2 linked regions of the Danio rerio genome follow. The protein of the gene in region 2 binds, or shares a complex with, the protein of the main gene of each other region. Links are inferred from orthologs where the notes say so. Each region holds a gene or a part of one and is shown on either strand. Other genes may lie near its edges.

What was found.
Region 1: abi1a (region 2) and wasf2 share a complex: the UniProt entries of both Homo sapiens proteins name them as parts of the WAVE2 complex. The link is inferred for Danio rerio from reciprocal best matches to the Homo sapiens genes ABI1 and WASF2.

The regions. Positions count from the first base shown.
Region 1 is NC_133194.1:46,367,038-46,370,868, reverse strand, and holds part of wasf2 (actin-binding protein WASF2), read right to left. Parts: intron 3,709-3,831; coding exon 3,591-3,708; intron 3,494-3,590; coding exon 3,369-3,493; intron 1,090-3,368; coding exon 922-1,089; intron 1-921. UniProt on the Homo sapiens protein: Downstream effector molecule involved in the transmission of signals from tyrosine kinase receptors and small GTPases to the actin cytoskeleton. Promotes formation of actin filaments. Part of the WAVE complex that regulates lamellipodia formation.
Region 2 is NC_133199.1:6,125,188-6,129,566, forward strand, and holds the start of abi1a (abl interactor 1a), read left to right. Parts: upstream 1-1,547; 5' UTR 1,548-1,652; coding exon 1,653-1,769; intron 1,770-4,379. UniProt on the Homo sapiens protein: May act in negative regulation of cell growth and transformation by interacting with nonreceptor tyrosine kinases ABL1 and/or ABL2. May play a role in regulation of EGF-induced Erk pathway activation. Involved in cytoskeletal reorganization and EGFR signaling.

The sequences.
Region 1 (3,831 bases), on a different chromosome or scaffold from region 2:
ATCTATATACAGTTGAAGTCAGAATCATTAGTCCCCCTGAATTATTAGCCCTCGTGTTTATTTTTCCCCCCAATTTCTGTTTAACGGAAAGATTTCTGAACATAATAGTTTTAATAATTAGTCTCTAATAACTGATTTATTTAATCTTTGCCATGATGACAGTAAATAATATTACAATAATATAGAGCTTAAAGGGACATTTAAAGTCTTAACTAGGTTAATTAGTTTAACTAGGCAGGTTAGGGGAATTAGGCAAGTTATTGTATATTGAAGGTTTGACTATCGATAAAAAATAGCTTAAAGGGGCTAATAATTTTGACCTTAAAATGTTTTTTTGAAAAATAAAAACTTCTTTTATTTAAGCTGAAATAAAACAAATAAGACTTTCTCCAGAAGAAAAAATATTATCAGACATACTGTGAAAAATTCCTTGCTCTGTTAAACATCATTTAAGAAATATTTAAAGGGGGCTAATAACTCTGACTTCAACTGTGCACATGTATCTTACTGTGTATATGTTCTCACTTTATTTAGAACTTTAGGGTCAACATTTGACTAAAATAAACATTAATAAAATATGAAACACTTTCCAAAAACGAATGATTACAGGTCCAATATTACATTAAATAATAATAAATGCTAAATAAAATGCATAATGTAAACATTTTACTTTCAAGAAAGCAACTTTCTCATGATGCTGTTAATCATGTTTCTGTCTGCATCCCCATAATGGCGTGTAATATTGCGCTCTTCTAAATTATGAAAAATTATTAACATAAACATATATTTTGTAACACCTGGAAATAAATGATAGAGCAAAATATGAAACAATTGACTTATTTTATCCATACGAGTTATATCGTCATATTGCACAGCCCTACTCAACAACAGGGAAAGCGTGAGCTATTTTAAGACACTCACTGCGTGTCTGCAGGTGGTGGAGGTGGGAAATCCTCTTGCGCTGGAGGTGGGAGAGGAGAGCCGGGATCGTAGCTGTAGGAGTTAGTGCTTTGTTCCAAATAACTATCAGTGTGCATGTAGCCATCATCACCAGAGCCAATACTGCCGTTCAATGCTTCTGAAGAGTTGCTGTTAGAGAGACATTAACAATAATGTTAAATGTATATAGACATCAATGATATTGTAAAACACTTGATGAATCTGAAAGCTGAAAATGCAGAACATAAAAGGCAGGAAGGCAACAAGGCATATCTGAATCTACTGATCCACTTATCCGGTGAGATACCTTCAATTTCTATTTAATATACAGGGCTCGAAATTAACCTTTTTGCTTGGTAGCACCGGATCTCCTAACTTTAAAAATTTAGGGGCATCAGCCAAAATTTAGTTGCACCCACCAATTATAAGCACTGTTGGTCCACTTAAAAGAAAACAGCCAATAGAGTTTAGTTTTCATCACAAGGGCTTAATTTGTGCCTGAACACACCGGATCTGGAATCTCTGAAATGTGATCCGGCAGCTAGTTTTTCTGATCCCCCTCCTCAACCGCCCTTCTTCCCTGTCTGCTATTCACTTTCACTTTCTTCTGCGACTCACCAACCCTCTTCACTACACCCCTCTGCCATCCAACACACAGACACTAGAGAGCATTTGATTGGTCAAGATTTGATGAGAACCTGTGGTTCATTCTTCGTACGTGGATTACTCAGTTAGCTGGATTTGGTTAGTGACGATTTGACATGATCCAGGATCGTTTCGTTCTTCAAAGCTGATCCGAGAGTTGTTGTCATAGCAACAATTCTGCTAGGTCAAACCTGATCGGGAGCAGGTTCAATTCATATAAACAGGATTAGATCGGCTCAGTTCAAGCAAAGATAATACAGAAAGTATGTTCAGAATTCTGATATTTTCTTACAGTAGTAGTTATATACACTTGGGGAAATGGTAAATATTTTTAAGCTATATATATATATATATATATATATTAATCTGCACCCTTGAAATGAAAGTACAAAGACTGCCACCTGGTGGTGCAAAGAGAAAACTTATTGATATGAACTTTTTAGATCGCTTTAGTACAAATTGTGTATAATAAAAATGCACAATATGTGACTTTTTAAAATCAATAATACATTTATGCAGTCATAAACATGTTTTGACAGTTAATATGCCGGTGATTTGATGCTTCACAAAAGTTCCAGATGCCTTTACCAAAATCAAAATGCTTTTGTAAACAACCAGTTATTCTTTACAACGATTAAAAAACCGGCTACTAGAATAAAGAAAATCTTTTCTAAATGTGGAACTAAATACACTGATTTGCATTGAAATACATGATGAATACACTTGACACATGAAAGTGTAAAGCCTGCAGCTCACAACAAATGTGGAGTTATTGCGTGTCATATTTAACAAACCGTTTACTGCTAATTTGATGTAATTTTGCTCACATGGATAATTGAATATTAATCAGATGATGTCATTACGCTGCTGTGCCGTCAGCCAATCGCTGCATTGCTGATCAAGATTTCAAGGATCGATAGATCAGTCCTTAAAAGATCCAGGATCTGCCAAATCATCTTAGATCATTTAAGCGAGGTACGAAGAACAGACCCCTGAAGTATGAGGTGACAAAACAATGAATCATTTACAGGGCTCGAAATTAACTTTTTTACTTGGTAGCACTGGTGCTCCCAACTTTAAATATTTAGGAGCACCAGAAAAAAATTAGGAGCACCCACCAAAAATGAATGAGCACCGCTGCAAATTGTATATTATGTTACATTTTACATTAAGCAGACATTTGCGCTGAGTACAAAGTAAATGCAGCACATCGAAATTCAGTGTACTTTTCACTCTTCAGTCAGTTGCATTCCCCGCAGAGTGATTGTTAGCTAATATGAACCTATATAGAGGCAGGGAGGAGCGATTCAGCACGTTTAAAAAAAAATAATAATAAAAACAGGTCGCACTACAACCATTATCTGCAGTCGCACAAATGCTCCCAAATTTAATATGAGGTCGCATAGATTAAATTTCAGGCGCATATGCGACCAAAATGGTTGCAATTTCAAGCCCTGATTTAGCTTTACATTTTTATATCAGTTTTATATCTTCTATATATTTCCAATATTTCTATTGCATTTTTTCCAGATATTATACAAACTTACAAATGTGTATGAAAAATAGAAGTCCTATCAGCAAAGGGATGACATGAAATACATAGCAATAAAAACAAGAAATCTCAGTTTTGTATCTTCTAAACGCAAATTTTGGAGCACACTAATTTATAGATATCCTTGAACATCTAGAAAACGTTATTTTAATTTCACTGGACCTTTAAATTCAGCATCTGGCAGAAAATCATGCACCTATGCAGGAATACAGTAGGCATTTATTATAATTACCCCAAGGCATCGGTTTTGGGGACAACAAACTCCGCCCCCATTTTCTGGCGTTCCCATTCATCTTTACGGGTTTTGATCTTCCGAGGGTTCAAGTTCCTTCGGTTAACATTGTCATCTTTCTTCTTCTGCTTGCGTTAAACACAAAAATACGACAACACACAGACACGTTAAAGAAGCTGGCCTCTGGAGGATATTTTAAGGTGATGTACTTGCACGTCTCACCTTGTGTTTGCGTTTCTCTTTTATAATGTCCTTGGTATCTTGAAGCATTTTCTCTTTCCAAAGGTCAAAGAAGTAAGACGGATCAGTGTAAAACTTAAGAGCCTCCTTGCCATCCTCCCTGGAAAACATTTCCGACAAAATTTAAGTTAGGGGTAAAAAGAAAAGACACCTCTATTTTCTGTAATTAAATCATTTAACAATTTTTTGGTATGATTCATAGATAAACAAAACAAAAACAAAA
Region 2 (4,379 bases):
AATTGATAAAACTAAAGCAACAGCAAAAGATAATAAATAGATATAATAAATGGAGCAGTAGGTAGTGCTGTCGCCTCACAGCAAGAAGGTCACTGGTTCGAGCCTCGGCTGGGTCAGTTGGCGTTTCTGAGTGGAATTTGCATGTTCTCCCCGTGTTCGCATGGATTTCCTCTGGGTGCAAAGTCCAAAGACATAGGTGAATTGGTAAGCTAAATTGACTGTAGTGTGTGTGTGTGTGTGAATGAGTGTATTTGGGTGTTTCCCAGTTATGGGTTGCAGCTGGAAGGGCATCCGCTGCTTAAAACATGTGCTGGATAAGTTGACAGTTCATTCTGCTGTGGTGACGCCAGATTAATAAAGGGACTAAGATGAAAAAAAAAGAATAATTAACTATATAATTAATTATAACTAAAACATATATCTATATTCAATGAATTAATTTAGAATAATTAGAATAAAATGTAAAATTACTTAAATAATCAGAGATTTTATTATTCATAATTTCTGAAATTGTAATAACTAAACTGTAATAACTAAATAGAAGCTAAATATGTTCAAATAATATTTTATACCGATTTATAATGTTTCCTGCAGCTGAAAGGGCATCCACTGCGTTAAAACGTGCTGGATAAGTTGGCGGTTAATTCCGCTGTGGCGACCCCGGATTAATAAAGGGACTAAGCTTCTAGTTCACTCAAAAATGAAAATTACCCCATAATTTACTCACCCTTAATCCTCCTTTTTTCTGCCAGACGAACACTCAGAGTAGTTTTCAATTTTATCCTGGCTCTTCCATGCTGTATAATAGTGTTGGATAGTGGCTTTTATTTTGAAGCTTCCAAAAAGGTTTCAATCCATCACCAAACTAACCCATATGCTGTCAAGGGGTTAATGCATGTCTCATGAAGTGGACCGATGTGTGTCTGTAATGAAAACATCAGTCATTTTACAGTGAGTTTTGAGATCTTAAAGAGAGGGCTGGATTGTAGCAGAACAGAAGGTTGGTTAGATAAACATCAGCTAGATTATTTAAAGCTTTATAGGTTAGAAGCAATGTTTTATAATCAATACGGAACTGAACAGGCAGTGTAGGGAGAATAAAATTGGGATGATATTGTCATATATTGTAGACCTGTTAAGAACTCTGGCAGCTGCATTTTGCACTAACTGCATATTATTAGTAGAGGATGCTCGGCAACCAGCGAACAGAGCATTACAGTAATCTAATCTTGAGGTCATAAAAGCATGAACTAGCTTTTCTGCATCTAAGTTGGATAGCATACTTCGTAACTTTGCGATATTTCCTTAAAAATACTGTTTTCGCCTGAAAGAAGAGAGTCATATACATAGAGGATGGCTTGAGGGTAAATGAATTGGGTGAACTATTTATTTACTAGCAAATTTACAAAAATTAGCTGTACTATCCCTTTAAGAGTGCTTTTTTTTGATTCAGTGATTCAGTGAGTCGCTGACTCCAGAACAGCTTTGTCGTATATTCGACTCGTTCAGTCCGGATTTATGAACCAGCTCAATTGACTCACCAAAAAGACTCGGTTCAAAAGAACGACTCCGACATCACCAGCAGGGCTGAGCTTGAGCTCTCAATCAAATCCCACAGACGAGGAGTAGGAAGCTCTGCGGAGACATGTAAGATGGCAGAGTTGCAGATGTTACTAGAGGAAGAAATCCCAGCCGGTAAACGAGCTCTCGTGGAGAGTTACCAGAACCTGACGAGAGTCGCGGATTACTGTGAGAATAATTATGTTCAGGTAAGCGCGCGCGCGCGTTTTCTCTGTTACGCGCTGATCTCCAGCACTGCTGTTGGGAGTCGGACAGGAAATATGGTTGTAAAACGGGAAAGCAGGGATGAGCCGCTTTTTGGGAGATTCTTTGAAGACATCAAAGGCGATATTTCGATGTAGAGCTTGACTTGTTTAAGCGGTTTGACGATCAGATTTGTGATCGTGTTCGGGATTTGTTTCGTTTACATTGAGGGTGTGTCTGGATACTCTTTAACTTAGACATTTGAAGTTTTGCTCATATCTGTGTCAAACTTCAGAAAGGAGGATGTGAGATTTTGGCCTCGATAGGAGAAGATTAGATATGAAAGGACTTCAACTGATTGTGTTTGCTTATACTTGATAATAAAACTGAACTAGTGTGTCAAATGGGAACACGAGAGGTCGTATAAAGCTGAGCTTCAGTCATGTTTTATTTCACCTTTGTTTGTTTCTTTTATCAAATAATATCAGGTCGGCTTCCTGCAATGCTGTTTGTTACGTTGTTTTTCTAATAGATTATTAAACTCTTAAGTGGTCAACTTAAAACTTAATACTTCAAGAGCGTATTTGGTAATCACCGATTTTAAATACTTTTTACAATGTTATTCAATGTATTTATTTGTTCAAAGGCATTCTTATATTTATTTAGTGATATTATGTAATAACATAGTAATAAACATTTCTTAGAAGTTTGATTGCGGTCGTATTATTAGTTTATTGATAGGGTTTTGAATAATATTTTGCTTTCCACATCAATTCAAACGACAAAATACATACAAAGTGTAATAAATACAAGTAATCTGTGTTTAACATTTAAAATGTACTTACTTTTTAAAGGAAATAATGTTGAAATGTGGGTGAACTAATTCAGTTGTCATTCAGCATCCTGTAAAAAGGACTCCCAACTTTTGACCTTACCTTACTGTATAATTATTATAAAATTGAATTAAGTGATCATACTAAATATTATGTTTTGAAACATCTATCTATCTATCTATCTATCTATCTATCTATCTATCTATCTATCTATCTATCTATCTATCTATCTATCTATCTATCTAATAATTCTAATGACAAAAAAACAAGCTATATTACACTTTATTGTTCTGATCCTTGATAACTTTTTTTGTGTGGCCAAACTTAGATATAAATAGTTGATTTTACATAGTATTCATAATTAATTTTATTTATCTTATAATTGGTCATTAAAATATCTATTAATACAATTTTTAAAAATTTTAAAACATTCTATCTATCTATCTATCTATCTATCTATCTATCTATCTATCTATCTATCTATCTATCTATCTATCTATCTATCTATCTATCTATCTATCTATCTATCTATCCAATCATCTATCTATCTGTCTGTCTGTCTGTCTGTCTGTCTGTCTGTCTGTCTGTCTGTCTGTCTGTCTGTCTGTCTATCTATTTATCTATCTATCTAGACATCTAGACATCTAGACATGAATGTTACACAAAAGGACATTTCAGTTAGTTTAATCTTCAAATCGCTTTAATATAAATGACTTTTTATCATTATTCCACAATTGTAATGACAAAAGAAACAAGAAATATTATACTTTATTGTTCTGATTCTTGAGAATTGACTTGGTCAGACGTATATAGTTGATTTGATATATTTTACTTCCTGACATACTTCATTTTATTTAGCTTATAATTGGTCATTAAATATAAATATTTATTTTATAAATGAGTAAAAACATACACACTGAAAACATATATTTATTTTATTTTATTTAATATTTAAAAAAATATATATAATATTTATATTTTCTTTTATTGAATTATTATTTAAAGTACTAATGAAAGTATTTTTATGTGTTTCTGATTTAGCAAATTTTGGCTTATTGACCATTTATCTCAGGGGCGTAGAATTAGCACGGGTGGAGGGGACGTGTCTCCTAATTGAAATGTCCTCATCTATAATTTAATCTGTCAGCTCTCCTTATCTCTCAGAGTAGCATGTCGAATTTTGGTTGAAACTACTGTTTGAAAAACTAAAGCTTGTGCTCCACCAACTTTAATTCATACTGATGTATGAGACACGTTTCGTTTGTGCTATGGCTAAAATAAATAAACGTCTTAATTAAACTCTATAAAGCATTTGTAACAGTAAGTTTAATTCCCTTAATTAAACTTAATGAATTGTATTGTATATAGAGTGGAATAAAATAAATAAAATAGCAATGTTAACGTAAAGGGATTTTGCAGCAAATAAAAAAATCTGAATTCATAATTCATAGGTCCCCACCAATGTCAAGAGTAAATTTACACTCCTGATTTATCCATATGACTGCAATATTTCTAGACTCATTTTGCAGTTACAATAGAAAATATTGACTTTATTGATCATCTGTTTAGTGTACACTTGATCTAAATCTGATAAGAAACCTTTTGAGAAAAAAAATCTGTCCTCTACGATTATTTGTGTCAAACAGCATAATGTTTAACGCGTCATTTTGACACAAAACACCTGTTGGAAATGCCTAAGAGGAGATTTACCCCACCATCGAGATGTTTATCAAGCTTTAATTGTGTTGTAATTCCTTAAGAAGAAGTTGCTCGACAGGTAGC